Regions from separate parts of the Mus musculus genome. Here all the other regions are reported to be linked to region 1. Evidence: microRNA targets listed by miRTarBase, many of them from high-throughput screens and not tested one by one. Region 1 holds a microRNA gene; each other region holds the end of a gene's coding sequence.

Region 1 (5,177 bases):
TCTGAGAAGGGCATGCAGTTCTGGGGCACTCTTGGCACCCTTTCCACTTGTTTTCCTTAAATGGTGAAAATTTCAACCAAAGGAGAAATCCAAATTTAATCATGGCCAGATTAAACAGAGGTTTAAAAATGAACAGAGACAGTACATAGCAGCTACCAACCAGTTGGTGTTGCCATTTGGGAGGCTGCAGATGGCTGTGGGTGGGAAATGCCTTTACTTTCTTAAGCGATGGAGATGAGTATGGTGTGTGTGTGCTTGATGTTTTTTTCATACCCCTACCCCCCAACAGGGCTGTCTGTCATAGGCTGCCGGCCAGGCTTTACCACTTGCCCCCGAGCGTGGGAATCGGAGCGTCCTGCCGTTCACATCTCCTGCTTTCCGTTTAGCGGAATCAATTAGGCAAGACAGACCCTCAGATTCCCCACCCCCTTTCCATTTTTGTCAGGTCTATATACGTCCTAATTATTTCAGTTTGGGATGCCAGAGCTGTTTCCTGGATAGACCTGATCATCCTTAAACAAAAAGAGAGGAGGCGCACACGTGGGTTGTGGCGTAAATGTCACTTTCATTTCCAATGCTAGGCGCAGAGTAAGACAGAACATTTTTTTAACACTTTGACAAGAGGGGAGGCGATCTCGTCTCCATCATGTCTTTCTGCTTCAGTAGCTTCCTCAAGGAAACCCTCTTGGAACAGAGAAGCATCTGTCCTTGTATTTTGAATAGAAGAATAAAAATCAGCCTTTGCCCCCACCCCTTTTCCCTGCTAGCTCTAAGTCTTCGGTAGATATAAATTATTAACCTTCCAGTATAAGCTTTACTGAAAGTCTAACTTCACAGAATTTGATGTACACACCCAAATACATAGAAAGTTTCCAGGCACAAGCTTCAAACTTGGGGGAGGGGCCTCAGATAGGAACAGCCCAAATCTACATAATTATGAAATCATTTTTAAGCGAGGTACCAGACATCACTATAACAGCTTTCTAAGAAAAAAAAAGAAAAAAAAAACCTCATATGTAAACGTTTGCTTCAAAATGAACAATATAGAAAATACATGCATCGTCACCCGTAAAAAACACTACACAATTCTCCTCTCCAGTTGTACAAGCCCCTCAAAGCCTGGCCCCTTTAGATTTCAATATGCGTGTCACTTAATTTTCTTGCATCCCACTTTCAATCATAAGATAAAAAAAGTTAGATTCAATAAGCATTCCTGACCTTTCTGGTTTTTACTGTCTCTTGGTTGCAGTCTTTCTTTCCGGAACGTTCCTCGGTGACCTTGAAGGAGTTTTTACTTTCGGTTATCTAGCTTTATGAAGACCAATACACTCATACAGCTAGATAACCAAAGATAACAACTCGCTTCCCTCACAAGGCTGCCTTCCTCTGGCTGAACTCCAGATCTCGATCCTCTTTGGCTTTAGGGAAGCGTAGTCCTCCGGGGTACTTGCCGCGTTTAAGCTTCTCCTTTCATGTAAACATGACCTGGTTTCTGTCTTAGTGTGTGCGGCTAGAACATCCAAATGAGATCTGTTGCATTCAGAGTTTATTCCAAACTTTTCCCCTTCCAGCAAGTAATCTCCAGTATCGTTAGCCAACAATTCATCTATGAGTATCAGAAATTAAGACCAGAGACTAAGGTGCAGCAAGCTGTTGGGGGTGAGCAGCAGTGTCCTTCTCTTCACAGGCCTCTATTTGCATTGTAAATTGCTTCATTCTCACGGAAGATTCTTTAGCCTTCCTCTACTGAGATGTATAAAGCCATCGGCAGTTTCCAACGCTGGTTAAAGAGGAAGAAGGGGGAAATCCCATTCTATAGAAGTGACAGCTGATTCAAAGATCTGCTCCGGATCATTGGGTTAGGCATCATGATCTTTTTTACCAAGTGCAGGCAGCTTGATTGCACATATCTTGTATGTGAATGTTTTAAGGGAGATCCTCGATTTCTTAGGACTTCTAGGCGGGCAGAGCATGCCCTCTTGCTGGCGTACTGCTGCCCCGGTCTGAAAGAAGGAGAAAAGGGCCATCATTGGAGGGGCTTTCACCGCCAAATTGTGGACCAGCCCGGCAAGGTCAAAGGTTTGAGACTGCGGGAGACCAAGGTAATGATGATGTCATGAGAAATCTCAAGTACATGGTTATTGATATGCATCAGTGGTCACCCAACTGCCCCACGCCTGCTGCCAGGAGTAGCACAGGCGACGGCGGCGGCGACGGCGGCAGCGGTGGCGGCGACGGCAGCAGCAGCTTTGCAGCAGTCCCTATATTCTCAATCAACATTTCATCCACTAGCACTACGGACTGCTCCTTGAAAAGCAACCCGCGGCCTTTTACCTCCTTGGCGCTAGTGTAGATCGCTCTAATATCCAAAGAATGGAGAAAATCTCTCTCTAAGGATAGATAAAAGCATTTCAGGTCTGGGGAACTTCTTTGCCTGCATTTCTCTTCTGGCAGATTGCATAGGCAGGCAGATGGAAGGCACTTTACTATTGCTTAAAGCAGGGCCTCGCTTTCTGGGGCTGGGAATCAGCTCTGTTTTTACGCAGTGAGTCGATGGTTACAATGACAATTTGCTTTGGTGTTATGTTTTTAATGGCTTTACAGCTCAGTCATGTTTTCTATCTGTGTACCGTGGCGATAGGGCAGCATATTTGTTCTGTAAGTTCGAACTGCACGATCTAAACAGTGGGGCTTCTTTTTTAAAAATGCTTTGCATATAGAGTGTGTGTGGGGGTTAGCATGCTGCACAGGTAAACATTGCAGCAATAGTTTCAATGTTGTACACAACTCTGCTGTAGCAAAAATGCTGAGCCTTTGTCTACTGTTTTAACATAAATTTCACACTGGACAATAATGCACTAGACTTGCTTATAAAATTAAAATAAAAGTCTTGTCTCCTGAACATGTAGATCCAACACCTGGATGGGGAGGGAGGGAAGCTACCACACCTCCCTGGCCCCACCCACTCATATCCTTCTATCGAGAAGCAGAAGGTCATTTCATTAATTAATTAGCTTCATTCATTGTCTTAGGAGTTTTTAAAGTGTGACTTTAAAATCACTTCAAAGAATCCTTTTCTTTCTCATCCTTTATAATAGATAATCTGTCTAGCACATCTAATATCTAACATTCAAATCCCTCTCAACAAAATATTCATGGTAATCTACATAAGAAGCATGTTCTCTGTGGGTAAACATTATGGATTATTGTTCAAATTACTAATTATTTTTTAGTAATGTTGCTTTTCTTTAAGTTACATGCTAAAGGAGAATTAGTAATTCTAAATGTACATTGCACACATCACCTGTGCCTCACAATGCTCTCAATTCCATAATGTGTCTATTTTCCCCAGTGGCTAAAATACTTTTGGATTTATTAATTTTTTTGGAATAAAATTTTTCTCAGTAATTCACTAATTTATTCATTTAACACATAAATAAGAACCTGGTTATTTAATCACATACAGAGCCCTAAAATCTAAACTCTGTAAAGAAGAGACTGACAAGTTTTTTTTGTTTGTTTGTTTGGTTTGTGTTTTAATGATAGGAAACATCTCCAATGAAGAGTTTAAACATATCACACCAATTAAGATATGGCTTACAGCTTAGTAACAGAGATGCCAATTTGTCCTTATATTAATTTGTTTACTTTTATGGTAAGCATTCTGTAACTGGCTATTGAGAAAAGACTAAGATGTGGAAAGAGTTCGTCTATATTTCTCTTCAAATTATGAACGAGAAGTCAGAAATAAAATACACACGGACACTACAATCCAATCCTAAAGGCATGTTCATAGAGTTTTTGTTCATTCCTAAACCATATGGTCACAGCATAAACAACTCAGTGAAGCGCATGCCACTTCTGACATCATGTAAAAATCCTAATGAGCTTTGCAGCTTGGAAGATTAAAGAGCACCGTGGCCTTGCTTTCCAAGAACTAGCAGCAGAGTAATTAATGATTTGGCTTGTATTACATAAAATAAGCACGTGATCAGATATAGTCAACTGTGTAAGCCAAAGCCCAAGAAATCAAAAATGGTCTTATAGAATCTCTTTTCTTCACATGTATCTAGGTGTGCTAGCTACATATATATATCTATGTGTTGGGAGGGTGTTATTTATTCACATATTTTCTGAATTTGAAAGTTATTATGACTCTATTCCCATACCTAACAATAAAATGTGTTTTTAGAAACAATATCTACAATGAGTTAACACACTGCATATCTGAACGCTTCTCCCACTAGAATCTGAATAAGATGCTGTAATAAATACCACATTCTTAGGGCAACACTAGTCATGCCAACTTACTACAAGGCCGGTCTCCACGCTTGGTATTCATCATGGGAACTCCAATGAGTGAAATGAGCCAAGATCAGGATTATGGGTAGTCTGTTCATTAGCAATGTAGTCAATTAAATATTTTAACTCTCTATCAACCTCACAGGCACACAGAAGAAATTAAATATACTAAGATTTAACATCGAGTGCCCCCTTATTTATAAGATTGCCAAGGTTTATAAAATGGTTTATTGTATGTATTATATATACCCCACAATACGTTACAATTACATATCTTCAAAGACTCCTAGCGATGTCACCTGTGAAGAGCAGCTCTTAGCAACTACACTTTAAACTTAATTTTTTTTTTGCTTTTAAAAGATTATCTAGCTGAGCTACAGAATATCTACTTGAAAATCAGCATAGAGAAGGATATACTGAATTCAAGCAGCCTGAATTCAAGCACTAAATTCTCACTACTATCTAGTAGATTAGAGTATGGTTGTTGTGCTTGCTTGCAGATAGTTTGTAGGTCTCCAAATTGCTGAAACATGACTTGAAACATCCTAGTTTATTTGGGGATAAAACAATCTCTCCTGATTTACAGTAAAAAGTTATGGTTTTCCTCATATTTGGGCCAGAAATATGCTATTTAATTAATTCATATACACTTGGTTTATGATCAATATTTGGAACGTCTTTGAATCCTATACACATGAATGCAGAATGCATAAGGAACTGGCCCAACACCAAATCATTTTAAATATTTCATTTATAAGAATTACAAATGTGCAAATTGTAGTCTACAGTCAATACTACTATTGTCTTATTTTTTAAGCCATTTTATTTACATTAGTGTCCATGGTCCAAGTGATGAAGTGAACTGGCTTTCATTA
Region 2 (5,000 bases), not on the chromosome of region 1:
CAGAGTTATCCAATAAAATACCCTGCAGAGACCCCTGCCTTTAGGTCTCTTCCTTCTACCCAGAGCCCATTACTGATAGGTCATTTTTGTCCCACCTTCCCCTGTCATCTATGCTATAGCTCCTGGCAGTGGGTCACCTCCACTCACCTGAGTCCGTCTTCCTGTAGAGATCACAGACCACACTTATCAAGAGGACAGGAAAAGGCCATGGTAGTACCTTTGAAAGACCCCACTGTCTCCCTTTCTATTTTCTGTCCAACAGTCCTGAATCCAGAAAGAAAGGTTCCAGAGGGAAGTCACGGCTTGTTTGTCCTTTCGGTCAACCAATAGCTAAGAGACTCCAGTGGCCAGCTCCCACGAACCAGCCTCTGCCTTTGTGGGTGCGGCTGGCGGTGGGGAGATAAAGGCCTTGCGAAAGAACGATGTGTAAACATACTTTGTCCTTAAAACATACTGTGTTCTTAAAGACACCAGTACTTTCCAAGCCCTGTTTCCTGTTACTAGCTCCCTTTAGGCATTATTAGCTCTTGAACCAAATGGTTTGAAGCAAAACCCAATTAAGTGCCTTCCAAGTCCCCACCCCACCCCCACCCCCCCACCCCCAAAAAAAAGAAAGAAAAAAAGAAAAAGGCTTGATTCTGGCAGGAGGCAGTGGAGCCACTGTGAAGTCCTGAGACACTGGGCAATTTTATGTTTCATTTATCTGTGAACCCAGTCTGCCTAGAAATGCGCAGTCCTGTCAGTCAAAAGAACACCAGTGTCCAGATCGTACAGCAAGTCTTTTCCTCCAGCCCATTCGCAGGTCACCAGATGACCTGCTGGGACCCACTGCTGTGTGATCTATCTCACAGCAGCAGCTGTCCTCTGAACAGTACTTTCCAAGCCAGCTGAGCCGCAAGAGGCCCAAGGTATGGTTTCCCAAGTGGCTGTAATCTCCTTCTGTTCCATGACCTTCTTGCCTGAGGCCTTCTCCTCCCTCCCAGTGGCCCCGAGGGCTCCTCCAGCTATACACACAGACAGACACGTACAGAAACCTCTGGGCTTCCAGTTATACACACAGATAGACACGCACAGATGTTCAGGCTGCTCCAACAGCCCCAGAGAAGCCTCTGAGTCTGCTGTCTGGCATAAGCTCATACTACCTCAAAGATAGTAGGGGTTTTGTTTTCAATAGCACCTCATTCCTGATCATCTCTTTCACCTGAACTAACTGCCCCACTGCCTGCCTCTACCCCTGGGGCCAGCCTCCCGTACAATATGACATTTGGTATGATGGGGTAAAGGGGAAGAGATGGCCCAGCCAACTGGTATTCCCCATGTATGCTCTGATTCTTCTGCTGACACTGTGCTGCCTCAGGGTGAGTATCTTCCCCTCTCTGGTGTCAGCTTCTTGGCCTGTGAGATGTTAGGGTTTCATTAGGCTGGGCTTTTAAATATTAGAGAAGTCCATGACTTGTTAGGGGACAGAACCCACCCCACAACTTTGGGGATATTGGCCAATAGCCTCAGTTGAGCACTGTAACAAGAGAGGAGCTATTCATGTAGAGAGCAGGGATGTATGTCTTCTGCTCTGGACCTTAGGTAGCGCTCAAGGCAGAAGCTAGGAGTGTATATGAGAAAACACAAGCTCATGGATGTGAGCCTAAATTTACCTTCACATCTGAGACACCTATCCCTGCCGGGTTCCCTTCAGTCACCCTCCCACTCCCCAGATCTCTGGGTGTCAGCTGCCATAGACCCCACATTCACAGTTGGCAGGGTTTGGCCTGAGGCATTCTGGGTATTGGGGGGCCAGGTCCTGCCCAAGCAGCAAGTGGAAGACAAACATAGGTAAGTTCTGAAGGTGTGTTCAAACAAGTCTGCCATCACCAAAGTCTCCAGGGGGCTTATCAGTCAGGTGAAGCCAAGGCTCTTGGAGACTGACAGAAATCAGCCTTGGAGGCATTCTATCCCATGATTTCTTTTCCTCAAGGAGGAAACTGTGGCAGTGAGTACCCTGGAGATGAGGTGGAGGAAGACTCACGCAGGGCCACTCAGAGGATCAGTGACAATGTCTGCCATCCCAAGCCTTGTACTAGTTACAGTGTGGTCACTGGGAATCACCCCCCACAGACTTCCTACTATCCCTCCATACTTATATGGATAGGTTCTGGTCACCTATGGAGATGAGATCTTTGCTGGAGCACTCCCCAACCTTGCTGGGAGCAGCTACAAGGCCAACAGAAACCTCGGGAGTATTGGCCACCCCATGCCTGATGGCTCTTCTGACACCTCTGGAGTGACATGGCCCTTTGAGCCTGTTCCGAGATGGATGCAGCATGGGTCCAATTGCAAGGTGAATTGGGCAGGTACCTCAGGTGCAGATGACTCTGGCTTCCCAGGCTGGAGGTCAGACCAGGGCGTAGGAACTGTAACCAGGGCTGGAACGATATAGACCTTCCCTAGGCTGTAGAGACTCCACATGGGCACAGCAACACAAAATAAAAGCCTCAGTCTCCAGACCCGTCACCGTCCTCTTAGAGAGAGGACCAGGGAGGGTTCTGTTCACCACTCGCCTTAACAGTCAGGCCCTGCTCTTGTGGGGCAGCACCGCCCTTCCTCCCAGACCCTGCATTACCACACCTGTGACATCAGCATACAGGAACACTAGCCATCCATTGATCTTGCTGAACTACAGGCAAGTGAGAATAAAATTACTTTTTTTTTTTTATTTCCCAAAAAAGTAGAGGCGGGGAACAAGATGATACAAATGACTGCCATCTCCTATGGGTTCTCTGCCTCTGTGGAACAATACCAACTGGTCTCTCTTGGCTCATGGAGTCCTAGAGGGCTTGCCCTGTGCAGGCCCAGCCTTTTCCTCCAGTTTACATATTGGTTGGTTAGTCCAGTTAGACCTCAGAATGACATAGCGTGGGTCCCCTCCTGCTATAGCCGACGTCCCCCCTCCCACCTGCCCTCACATTTCCCTCATGCCCTCAGCCTCCTCTTCCCTCTACACTCCTGCTTGAGCCTCACTGGGTACCCCCAACAGCCCTCCTGAGACCTCACACCCTACCCTGTTTTTCCTGCCTTTCTGATAGCAGCAACCTCAAGCCACAGCGTATACTGTGGCCTTGAAGGCGAAGCCTAGCTCTACCTGAAGGGCAAGGGACATCTAGTAAAGATGGATTGTCCTAAGACCCAGCCAGCCCTCTGCTACTCTCCTATTAAGAAGAATTCTGTAGGAAATGTTAACACAACAGCTAAAACAAACAAGCAAACAAACATCTGTAAAGACAGGGATGAGCCAAAAAGAAGCCAAGTGCTGGCTAGATTGGCAGCTCTATCCTGGGGAGAGCTGCTCAGGGGCTCTCCTGCAAGGTCCACATTCTCTAGACCAAGCATCTGGAACTGGCCAGAGGATCTGGAAAAAGATCTGATCCTTCTAGAATCTTGGGCCTTTTAACTCAGAAGCACCTGACTGTAGTGGGAGAGGTTAAAGTTCCAGGCTGGTCAGTCCCTCCTTCAACCTGGCTACTGCCTCTCCTGAGCCCGCACAAGGAACACTCCCTTTGGTTTCTGGAGTTGGGTAGATGATGAAATAGAACCTGTACAAACCCTATGGTCTGGAGTTGTGATGGTGGGCATGAGAGAACTTTTCCTTGGTCCTCAAAGTCTAAGGTGGTCCTTGGCAGCTGGAAAGAAGCCTCAAGTACCAATCCCAGCCATGGGAAAGACACTCAGAACGAAGCATGTCTTCACCCAAATGACTACACCATAATGCTGACAGGGAGTGTAGAGCCAAGTCCTGGACTCCTGTTCCACAGGCCCCCAGAGTGTCTGTGGGACAGAAGGGGGTGGGGACTAGGCTGCCAGGAGCAGAATCTCATACCAGGAATCTTTAGGTGCAGAAGTTAAAGGCAGACGCGTAACCACCTGAGACAACCACCTCTCCGGCTCTCTGGGAGAAGGGACTGGGAGGCAGAGGGGATGGGGTCAGGGCTGACAAAGGGGGAACTCCATGAGAATGGAGTAGGTAGGGGTGAGGGAAGAGGAATAACAAGAAAGGATGCAAGCCCGGGGAATGTGAGGCAGCAGACACTTCAGTCTCATGAGAACCCTTCAGAACAAAAGCCCTCCCCTCCCTCTGGCTGTCACCCAACAGTGCCCCTTTCCCGAGGGTGCCCGGAGGACGGCAGCTTCATTTATGGAGGTAAGCATCCAGCCACAGCTCCCCAGACTTCTTCAGTGAACTGCAAATAGAGAGAGGGGGGCAGGGCTCAGGAACCAGATGGAAGGAACCTCGGCCTCCAGGCAGTGAGACTTGTGGGAAGTCATGTTGGGGCGGCAGGTGCTTCCTCTCAGCTACTGACTAGGGCTCACCACTTACCACAGGATACCACAGGAGCTGTGGGCTACTGACTAATACACCCCAGAGAAACCCCTGGGAAAGGAGAGAGGGGAGGTCCTCTTCTAGCCCTGGGTAGACAGGAATCCCCACTGTGAGCTAGAGTCCCTACTGTGAGTAAGGCCAGCCATGTGCCTCTCACCTCCTCAGCCCCACCTCATCTCTGGCCCCTTCCAGTGCTCCAGAGCTTCAGCCCTTGTGGAGCTCACCCCTCACCTCACAATGTCGATCAGGGCCCTCAGCAACGGCTTCTCCTGGTATTCAATGCCATGCTTGGCGCAGAGAGACTTCACCAGTGGGGCAATCTTGTGCAGGTTGTGACGTGGCATAGTGGGGAAGAGGCTGGGGGAGCAGGTGGGCAGAGTGAGTGCAACCCAAGACCCATGTTCTCCACCTCCTCTCCAACCCAGGGAGGCAGGCAGGGCTGAGGTCCTATCTTAAACCAGGACTAGACTGTGGCTCCTGCCAACTGCCTGAAGATGTTACTGGTGGTGTGTAGAGGGGCAATTTATGAACAGGGGCACTGCAGAAAGCCGAATTGAACAGCCAAACACAAGAGTCTTATGTTAAAAAACAAAAAGAAAAAGGGTATCAGGGCTCACGCCCCTGGCCT
Region 3 (5,000 bases), not on the chromosome of region 1:
CTAAGCTAAAGTAACACTTTGTGTCTACCGACAAGAACAGAACATATTGGTTATAAGTTTGTTTGCGGATGAGTTAAAGACTCCAGCCTTAAGGCTGACAGTGACTTCAGTCCAGATAGTTGCTCTGTTGAATTGATTTGATAAAGTCTGGAGCTATCCCTAGTATCTGTTAAGTATTATTTAACATCTAGGGAGGGCTTTGATGCATGACCTGGCATCACCACTACCTTCAGGAGTTAGTGACTCTCAGGGTCTCATTACCCACTGATGGTATTCATGCACAGGCCTGCAATCTGTTCCTTCCCTTCAACTGAAATGTGGCAGTAAGACAGGGCCACTGATTTCAAAGGACACTGACCTACAACCTCAGTCTGCTGAGCACACATCCCTACTACAGCACTAGTCCTGGAAAACAAGTCCTTGGTGAACAATTCAAACCAAATATGAAGATCATCTCTGCAATTGGTCTATTACACATTTAGGAAAAGAACATCTTTGTCAAACTCAAGAACAGTTATTTTTAAGAATGTAAATATGTACTGATTCTTGTATGGCTTATGGTAATTTTACATACTGCTGGAAATTATTATATACATAATAAAAGGTATTCCTGAATCACTGACCGTGGATAAAGGTGTGCTGTGAGTTTTTTCTGTGCAGGTTTTCATGGATACCCCATTTTAATAGAATTCACTCACTGAGTCTTTCTTAAACAAGTTAAACAGAACTACTGACCAAATTTGCATTTTCATTCTGTCCACTGGATACAGCAGTCCTAGAACTCTTAACCAGGATGCACACGGCCCTGCCACAAAATCTACATTCAGACTTTAAGTGACTATCAGACATTCCTCAATACTAGTTAAGTGTTTTTCTGGATTAGACACATATTCACATTCATTATACATATTGTTGGCTCATTAATAAAAATAATTTTTCTAATAGTACGTCAATTAACTTTCTTTCTGGTGACAACAGCAATACCAAAGACTGGCAGTGAAATCTAAGGACAGATTTTTATAGAATGGCATCTCTTGGGCTGGAGTGATAGCTCAGCCATTAAAGGCTAAGCTCACAACCAAAAATAATGAGTTGGCATCTAACCATGTATTCCAGGCTGCCCTGAAACTCACTCTACTGGCCTCCAGCTCAAGGTTCAGTAACATATCTACCTCTGCCTCCTGCAAAGGCTGATTTTAATGATAGGATTGGAACATCAAGACCAGAAGTACAGATGCTCATAGGTACTCCAGGACACCAAAGCCAGGACCAGATAATTATAGGAGTTGTCTTTATAATATTTATCTAGAATTATAAGAACATTAGGCGTCAGGTATTAAAGGCTCTGAATTATCATTAATAACCAAGCAAAGACTTACTGTCCATATAATTACTGTTTATTGAAAGAAACTATTCCTTAGCCCACACATATTCATGTTTCATAGTTCAGGAGCGCAGGTCAGCAATGAACTTCTTTGGAGCGCAATCCAAAGAATTCTATGGAGAGAAACACAATAGCTTTGTGAATGATAAACAATCTTTATTACTACCATCCATAAAGTCTAGTCCTACTAGACTGTAAACTTTCTAAAATGTAAAAACTACATCTCAATATAGTCAACTGCGGATGAATCTATTACTAACCTGCACTTGATGAAAAACTGAAAGCTTTTCCTTTAGAATCAGCAAAAAAAAAAAAAAAAAAAAAAAAAAAAAAAAAAAAAATGCCAATTCTTGCCAACATAGTATTAAAGTCCTAATCAGAAAAATCAGTTGAGAAAAAGAAAATACACCCAAAGGAAGTAAAATCTGTAGGTAATATTTTATAATGTAGAAAATTCTAATAATACACACAGAAACAGAAAGGTTAGAATGAGTTTTACAAAGTTATAGGGCATAAAATTGTAATACACTAAAGTAAAAATAAAACAATTCTATTTATAATTACTTTGAAACTAATAGAACACTTATGAATAGAATACTGAGCAAAGATATAAAGTGCTGCTGGAAGACTGCAATATTGCAATAGTAAGATGTCTATACACTCCAGAGCAATCTACAGATTAATGGAATCTTTATAAAAAACCCAACCATTTTTTGTAGAAAAAGAAAACCCGCTGGGCGTGGTGGCGCACGCCTCTAATCCCAGCACTCGGGAGGCAGAGACAGGCGGATTTCTGAGTTCGAGGCCAGCCTGGTCTACAGAGTGAGCTCCAGGACAGCCAGGGCTACACAGAGAAACCCTGTCTCGAAAAACAAAAAACAAAAAAAAAAGAAAAAGAAAACCCACTCTAAAATTCAGAGATTCTCAAAGGAGCTCAAATATCTCAACTGAGGGGGTTGGGGTGGAAGACTCATATATAATGAAACCTCTGTGGTACTGCCCTGATAAACAAACCAGGCTTGAGTGATGGTTCAGAATATGGATGCTTGCTATACAAGGATCCTAGTTCAAATCCCCAGCTCCCACATAAAGTCAGGCATGACAGTGCATTAAAACACCAGCATTGGGGGACCAGAACCAGGAGAATCTTAGGAGCTCACTGGCCAACCAACTAGTCAAGATGAAACAGCTTCTTGTTAGCAAAAGACTACCTCAATAGACTAATGCAAGAAGCAACAACAACAACAACAACAACAACAACAAAAAATCTGAGGGTCCTTCATTCAAAGGGGAAGGACAATTTTTAAAAAATATTTTTGGGACAACATATTATCTGTATACTAAAGAATGAAGCTGGATCTTGCCATTACACCATAAACAAAAATTATCTTAATACGGAGGACTTTTAGAGCAGTGGTGCTCAACCTTCCTAATGACGACCCTTCAATACAATTCCATCTACTGTAATGACTCCCAACCATAACACTACTTTCATTGCTTCTTCCTAACCATAATTTGGCTGCTGTTGTGAATTGTAAATACCTGGTATGTAGGTTCATCTGATATGAAACCCCTAAAAGGGTCATGACCCACAAGGTTGAAAAACACTGACTAAAGAGGTGCAGCTAAATTAAAGCATACACTTCATACAATCCCCAGCACCAGCAAAAAAGAAAGACTCAAAGACATAAAAAGCATTAAGACTCTTGAAAGAAAGTGTTTAAGATACTGGATTTGGCAGTGATTCTGGGATGGCCTGTTTGACAGAAATATAAGGGAACAACTCATCTAAAGTAAAATTTAAAAAATAGTCAGCAGAGTTGAATAAAAGAATCCCCAGGATGGAGAGCTGGCCAAGTGGCTAAAGCACAAAAATAACAATAAAATCCAGAGTTTGGATCCCCAAAATTTATATAAATGCCTGACAGACATGGTGGTTCATCTGCAATTGCAAGAGTAACCTGGTTAGCCAGCCTAGCCTCATGAGAGGGCTCTGGATTCAACTGAGATCCTGCCTCAATACTATAGAAAATACTAAAGGAAAGTACTCTTAATATTAACCTTGGACTTACGCACGCACACCCTACATACATATGAAAGGGGAAAATCCCCAGTATACCCAAAGAATATACAAAGTGGCCAATAAGTACATGCAACACTCGAAGCTACAAATCACTAGGAAGCGCAAATCAAAACCACCATAAAGTATCTCAACCCACTACCAAAAAACACACATACACTGGGAGTGAGTGTCGGGGAAAGCACCCTCACAGGGGCAGGGGGAAAAGGATGGGATAGGAGGTTTCCAGATGGGAGACCTGGAAAGGGGATAACATTTGAAATGTAAATAAATAAAATATCCACTAAAAGGGAAAAAACAAAGATAAAAAAATCTACACACACACACACACACATATATATACATGTATATACACATATATATGAGTACATGTATGTATGTATATAGAATAAGATGTAGTCGATTGTAGAATGCTTTCCAAGTATGCACAATACTCCAGGTTCAATTCCCAGAAACAACATACAATGGAGTATTTTCAGCCTTAAAAAAAGGAGGGAATTACTGACATGTAAAATGTACCCCCACCCAGCCCTTAAACAGGCTGAGCAGTTGACTGCTATCACCAGGAGATCATCGGGGGTGGAGCCTGCCACCCTATCCTTCTGCCACTCCCACTGCTACTACCGCCACCTAGCTGTTCCAGAGTACACACGTGGTCACCTACAGCTGGACTCTGAAGATGATTTGGCGGGAATGGGCCCCTCCCCCTTCCTTATAACCTCAGTTTCTGAATATTAAAATTGATCAGAATCTCTTGACTTAGCTCCATCAAGCCGCCTACATTCCCTCTTTTCTTCCAGATTTCAAGATGCTTTCCAGGCTCGAACCCGGACATGTGAGCCGCTGGCCGGCCTCAACAGTAAAACACTGTACTAACTGAAATAACTGACAAAGGGCCAGCAAGGCGACTAGATGGGTAAAAGCACTCACCGCCTTAATCTGCCAACCCAAGTTTGTTCCCTGGAACAAACCCATATAATGGGTGGAAAGAAAAGCAATTCCAAAGTTTTTCTGACATGTATCCCATGCATAGAAGGAGAAAAAGGGGAAGAAGAAAAGCAAATAATGTAGTTTAATTCATAAAAAGAACTACTTGTCAGTCTGGAAGAAAAGCATGGCGGCTCTTTCCTAGACAGTAGCAGTTTTATAAGAACTGTACAGTTAAGATAATTCACTAGTTAAACATTTCTTAGACACAACTAAAAAGTAACTGTAATTACCTTTGCATTCTGAAATCACTTGGCACTCTGAAAGATACCAGCCTTCCTCATCTCTTCGAAATCTTTCATGGAATCATAATTTCTGTAGAATTCTGCATACGCCTTCTTTCTTGGCTCAGCCACGCCAAACTAAAAGGTAGCATAGCCCGTTACAGAACTTTCTTTTCAGATTATTAGAAATGCATAAAAACAAAATAAACTAAGAAGATACTTGTACTCAGTCTTTACTGAGCCCTCTTATTTCCTAGACAAGGAGGGGGGACACCATGAAAGGAAGAGTCTTGTGGCAACTATACAGCAAAAAGCTCCCTACTAC
Region 4 (5,000 bases), not on the chromosome of region 1:
GGTGTGGGTGTCCTACTGTCAACCCCGTCTGACTTGGCCCCTTCCCACTTTGTCCCCTGCAGGTGGAGGTGGGAAAGCCAAGGTCTCTGGCAGACCTAGCAGCCGAAAAGCCAAGTCGCCAGCACCAGGCCTAGCGTCCGGAGACCGACCCCCTTCTGTCTCCTCAGTACACTCAGAGGGGGACTGCAATCGCCGAACACCACTCACCAACCGTGTGTGGGAGGACCGGCCCTCATCTGCAGGTGGGTATCAGCTAGGAGTAGAGATGTATCCAGGGGTTGGGGGTTACCTGGGCTACCCAAGAAAGAAGGTCCCTGATCACCACTTAGCAAGGAGGATATAGGAAGAAACCTATCAGAGGGTCCTGTGTAGCTGGCCAGACCTTCCAGGCATGGCTCGTCATACAGGGGAGGCTGGCAGCCTTTCTTGCCTGTCAGGCACTGTAGGATTTTGACAGGACAGTAAAGGCAGTAGAAGACAGGACAGAGGGAGAGCGGAAAGGTTTTACTGGAGTCCAGTCAAACGGTGGTAGGGCTGTCGAGCACAGAGGCAAAGGGAGGAGGCCGGTTTTGAGAAACTCCAGAGTTAGAGGTCCTGGCCCAAGAGACCCAGGCTCTGGTTTCTTATATGGAAGACGGGTCCTGAGGTGCCTACGTGTAGCGGCTTGCAGAGCCTCCTGCAGCACTCTCCCATCTTTCTCGCAGGGTCCACGCCATTCCCCTACAACCCTTTGATTATGAGGCTACAGGCAGGTGTCATGGCCTCCCCGCCCCCACCTGGCCTTGCGGCAGGCAGCGGGCCCCTAGCTGGTCCCCACCACGCCTGGGATGAGGAGCCCAAGCCACTGCTGTGTTCACAGTATGAGACACTCTCGGACAGCGAGTGACCACGGATTGGGGGGGAGCGGTGCCAGGTCCCCGCACAAGGCAGAAGCAGCCCAGCATGGAGCAGACAGCTGCTGACTCCCGAGACTGAGGAAGGAGCCCCTGAGTCTGCCTGCGCGTCCATCCGTCCGTCCGTCCACTCATCTGTCCATCCAGAGCTGGCATCCTGCCTGTCTAAAGCCTTAACTAAGACTCCCACCCCGGGCTGGCCCTGCGCAGTGACCTTACACTCAGGGGATGTTTACCTGGTGCTCGAGAGGGGAGTGGACAGGAGGGGAGGGACAGCGGGCCAGGAGGGGGGGGGACAGCAATCGTGTGTCAGTCGCACTCGTGCATCTGGGGCAGCGGGGACCCACCACAGGCTGACCAGGCACCTCCATGCCACCGCCTCGCCCCTTACCGCATTTGGAACCAAAGTCTAAGCTGAACTCTCGCGTGGTCCTGCCCCTCCCTCTGCCCCCAGCCCGCTTGCGCTCTGGACAGACAGACGTTCCCAGCTTATCCTGCCCTAATGCTGTCATCATCGCAGTCTCCAAAGGCCACCCAGCCCACAAGACTGGGAGCCCATCAGACCAGGTGGGTGCACAAGGGGCCAGGCCTGGCCTGGGGCACGGATGCTTGCAGGAACTGGACCGTTTCCCGGCCTGTTGCTGTGGCAACGGGAGGGAAGGCACGTGTAAATGGTGTTGGCTTACAGGGTATATTTTTGATACCTTCAATGAGTTAATTCAGACGTCTCACACAAGGAAGGACTCGCCCGTGTTTCTGCCGCTGTGCTTTGGTCTCTACCTACTGTTTCAGAGGCACGTGCCAGCCAAGGCGGTGGCCCCACCATACGCAGGACTTGGGGGTCAGGGGCTCCGGCACACGGCACTGTGCCCTTCCCCCCCACCCCCTTCCTTGGGCAAAATGGACTTGATGCGTATTCTGTGGCCGCTCTCTGTGCACGGCGGCATTCTGTCATTTACACATGTTGTTCCAATTAGAAAGCAAATATACTCAAGTGACAACGTTTCTACTCTGCTTCTCACTGGGCAGCAGGCAGCCACAGGAGTCAAGGGGAGTGTTCCTTAAAGTCAGCACTGAGCAGTGAACATTGACCCCTAAGTACAGTGCCACCAGAGGGCATCCTGCATGCACACGTATGAGGAAGCCACCAGGTACTTGTGTCGTCGATACCTTGCTGGATGTTCACACCGGTGGGGGACCCATTGGTCATTCACACCAGTGGTCATCGTACAGGGGTGTTCACACTTGTTGGGGAAGCCAGCCAGTACCTGTATTATACGGTGACTATGTGGAGGTGTTCATACCCGTGGAAAAGGGTCCTGGGCATTCACCCTTGTCACAGGAGAGTAGTCATTGCATTCTTCACGGTGACAGTGTGTGGTACTTACGGGGTGAAGATTACTGTCTCGTAGTAGGCATTGGGGTCCCTGCCTGTGGCTTAGCCTCTCCTGTTCTTTCTTGTGGGTGTAAATTTCCGCCAGTCACACCCACAGTGTGCCCTTCCCCCCCACAGTGAGGGTGTCCTGGGGACTCTTGCTTCTTGCTCTGCACTGTTTTGATCCTGCCTGTTGTGTCAGCGGTAAGTATTCTTGAACCTGACCGAAATGGCCACACCTACCTCTTTGGGTTTGATCTAAGAAACTCCAACAGAGCCCTGCTGCCACCTTGGTGCCTGTTGTAATCAGGGTTCTCTAGAGCAGTGGCTCTCAACCTTTCTGTTCCTGTGACCCTTGAATACAGTTCCTCGCGTTGTGGTGACCCCCTGACCATAGATTTCATTGCTACTTCATAACTGGTTTTGCTACTGTTGTGAATCATAGCATAAATATCTGATATGCAGGATAGTTGATATATGTCACCCCTATGAAAGGGCTGCCTCTAAGGGGTTGCAACCCACAGGTTGAGAACCATTGCTCAGGAATTTGTGTGTTACACATACATACGTGTGTATATGTGTATATATACGTATGTGTATATATGTGTATTTGTATATATACAAACATATACATACGTGTATGTATGTGTATATACATATGTGTATAGCAGAATTTATTAAGAATAAGCTTTTTAAAATATTTGTTTTATTTATATTTCACATGTGTTATAATGTTTGGTCTTTGTGTATATCTGCACCACAGTGCTTGCCTGGTATCTGCAGAGCTCAGACTAGAGACAGGTGCTCGTGAGCCACCAATGTGGGTGCCAGGAACTGAACCCTGGGTCTTCTGGAAGGGCACCCCCGAACACATCTCTCCAGCTCCTTGAGTGAGCTTTAAAATAGTAACACAGCCAAGCCCCACCCACGATGCTGAGAACAGTTTGTGTGGTCCTTGGACCTGAGTGCCTCAGAGTTGTCCCAGAACAGCTTGCCTCTCACTGCAAGGCGATGACCCTTAAGTCACTGAGTAAGAGTGCCAATCTGGCACCTGGAAGCTCAGAAGGTTTCTAGAGAGCCGCTGGTCCCCAGGCCGCCAGGAAAGCTTAGCCTGGCTGTACCGTCAGCCATGGGGTTAGCAGTGCTATCAATGAGGCAGAGCCGCTCTGAGTGAAGGGCGAGGTGATCGCCTTCCTGGCAGTTCCTTTTGTACCTGGCTGCTGCCTGAAGGTGCTGCCCACAATCCAGGTGTGCCTTCCCACATCAAAACCGTTGGGACAGCTCTTCAGGTGAGGCTCCCTTACCTCATTTGTGACAGGGTGACATTTAAACCAACTCTCGAAGCAGGGCTGAGAGGGCTTCCAGTCTTTGCACTGAGTCAGTTGATCTGCTCCATCCTGGGGCCTGGGGCCCCTCTACATCCATCCATACCCATCTGTACATGTTGTGACACCCCAGCCTGCTGTCCCCAGTCTGCCACCTGGCTCCAGAGCTGGTTTGACAGTTGGTCCACAAAGGCCTGGGCTGAACTCACTTGGCCTTACCCCGCTGCCAGGTGGCTGGTTTAGTGCCCTCAGAGGCCAGCCATTCAAAGAGAGGGGTGTGGGAAGCAACCAGGCAGGCCCGTACCAGAGTCTTCATCTGGCAGTCATACTCTTTCTGCCAAGGTTCCTGCCTTGCACTCATCCTTAGCTCCTAGCCTGGGCAGCCAGGGAGGGATGCCATGGCAGAGGGTCCCAAGTCTCTGGAATGAAACCCACCTTGGCTCTGCTGGGAGGTGGCTGCTGGGTCTGATAAAGGAAAGGAGATCTGAAGCAGCCATAGGCAGGAGTCTGATCATGAAGGCTCTGGTGGAGGTATGTATCTCCCAAGAACAACCTCCCCAGCCGCCTGAAATATCTGAGCTAGAGTGTGGAGAGACATTTGCATCCTCCAGGGAGTCCCAAGCTGCCCCGAGTCTGTCCTGTGAACTGTCAGGAGCAGACATGAGCTGAAACCTGGAGACCACCAGGCAGGTCTGTACCAGGCTGGCTTGGAGGGGCTCGACCTTCATCCAGACTGCAATACAAAAGCTAGCAGCCAGGGGGTGCTGTGGGCCTCATCTTGGACACAGCCAGCTCCACCTGGACGGTCAGGTTGCTTTGCTACACCGGTTCACGGTGTGGTGACCCTCGGCTGCCACCAGACAGGAGCTGGTTTGAGCTACCCCATTGTCTCCTCCAGCCGCATCTCTACCTCTCAGATATGAAACCCATGTCTCCCTTGATACTTCCTGAGGCCTAGACCATGACAGAGATGTGGAGACAGAGCTTGTACCTTTGGAGGGTTTCTTCTGTCCCCTAGCTGTAACCAGCCTGTCCTCGCTCCACCTTTAAAATGGAGGCACATGTGACTTCTCTCACCCTTGCCTCCCAGGAAGACACCTGGCTACACTGCAACGTCCAGCCGTGGTCCACCCTTCTCTAAGAACACCCAAGCTCGTTCCTCTTGGTCTCTTAATACAGAGAGAGCTAGTCCTGCATCAAGCCACATACCCCTCCCCCCTAGGAGACCCCTCCCCCCTAGGAGAGCTCTGCCCACCGATCAGATACACACTGATCCCCTACCTAGGCTTGATTCGGAAACAACACAGACCATGTCAGTCAAGGAGGACTTCCTAGAAGTGGCAGCCTTCAAAAGACAGGTTGTGGGGACACAGCTTGTGCTAGACTCTTGAAAGCCAGGGTGGGGAC

Evidence for each region. Region 1 holds the annotated microRNA mmu-miR-9-5p (UCUUUGGUUAUCUAGCUGUAUGA, at 1,330-1,352, opposite strand). A microRNA usually pairs through its seed, bases 2 to 8, with sites in the 3' UTR of a target mRNA and lowers its output. Matches are read on the target gene's strand: a 7mer-m8 pairs with bases 2 to 8, a 7mer-A1 pairs with bases 2 to 7 and ends in A, and an 8mer does both.
Region 2: the mRNA of Fads2 is a reported target of mmu-miR-9-5p. Seed matches in the 3' UTR shown: 7mer-m8 at 3,550-3,556.
Region 3: miRTarBase lists Cox6c as a target of mmu-miR-9-5p. Seed matches in the 3' UTR shown: 7mer-A1 at 1,473-1,479.
Region 4: the mRNA of Ncor2 is a reported target of mmu-miR-9-5p. Seed matches in the 3' UTR shown: 7mer-m8 at 1,295-1,301.

The regions. Positions count from the first base shown.
Region 1 is chr13:83,734,996-83,740,172 of GRCm38, reverse strand. It overlaps Mir9-2 (microRNA 9-2), which reads right to left and starts at 1,359; the gene lies at 1,288-1,359. It overlaps C130071C03Rik (RIKEN cDNA C130071C03 gene), which reads right to left. Exons shown (of 4, transcript NR_152245.1): 4 at 1-2,003. Gm51268 (predicted gene, 51268) reads left to right here and starts at 1,297; the gene lies at 1,297-1,352.
Region 2 is chr19:10,060,083-10,065,082 of GRCm38, forward strand. Fads2 (fatty acid desaturase 2) reads right to left here. Exons shown (of 12, transcript NM_019699.2): 11 at 4,604-4,729; 12 at 2,683-4,232. The coding sequence ends at 4,181. It also overlaps a transcript of Fads3 not described here. Among named protein-coding and RNA genes, the nearest start is that of Gm29917, 15 kb to the left of the region's middle.
Region 3 is chr15:35,930,601-35,935,600 of GRCm38, forward strand. Cox6c (cytochrome c oxidase subunit 6C) reads right to left here. Exons shown (of 4, transcript NM_053071.2): 3 at 4,685-4,813; 4 at 1,376-1,497. The coding sequence ends at 4,700. Vps13b (vacuolar protein sorting 13B) reads left to right here. Exons shown (of 62, transcript NM_177151.4): 62 at 1-629. Among named protein-coding and RNA genes, the nearest start is that of Cox6c, 5.1 kb to the right of the region's middle.
Region 4 is chr5:125,014,053-125,019,052 of GRCm38, reverse strand. It overlaps Ncor2 (nuclear receptor co-repressor 2), which reads left to right. Exons shown (of 47, transcript NM_011424.3): 46 at 63-242; 47 at 705-1,900. The coding sequence ends at 886. Among named protein-coding and RNA genes, the nearest start is that of Rflna, 13 kb to the right of the region's middle.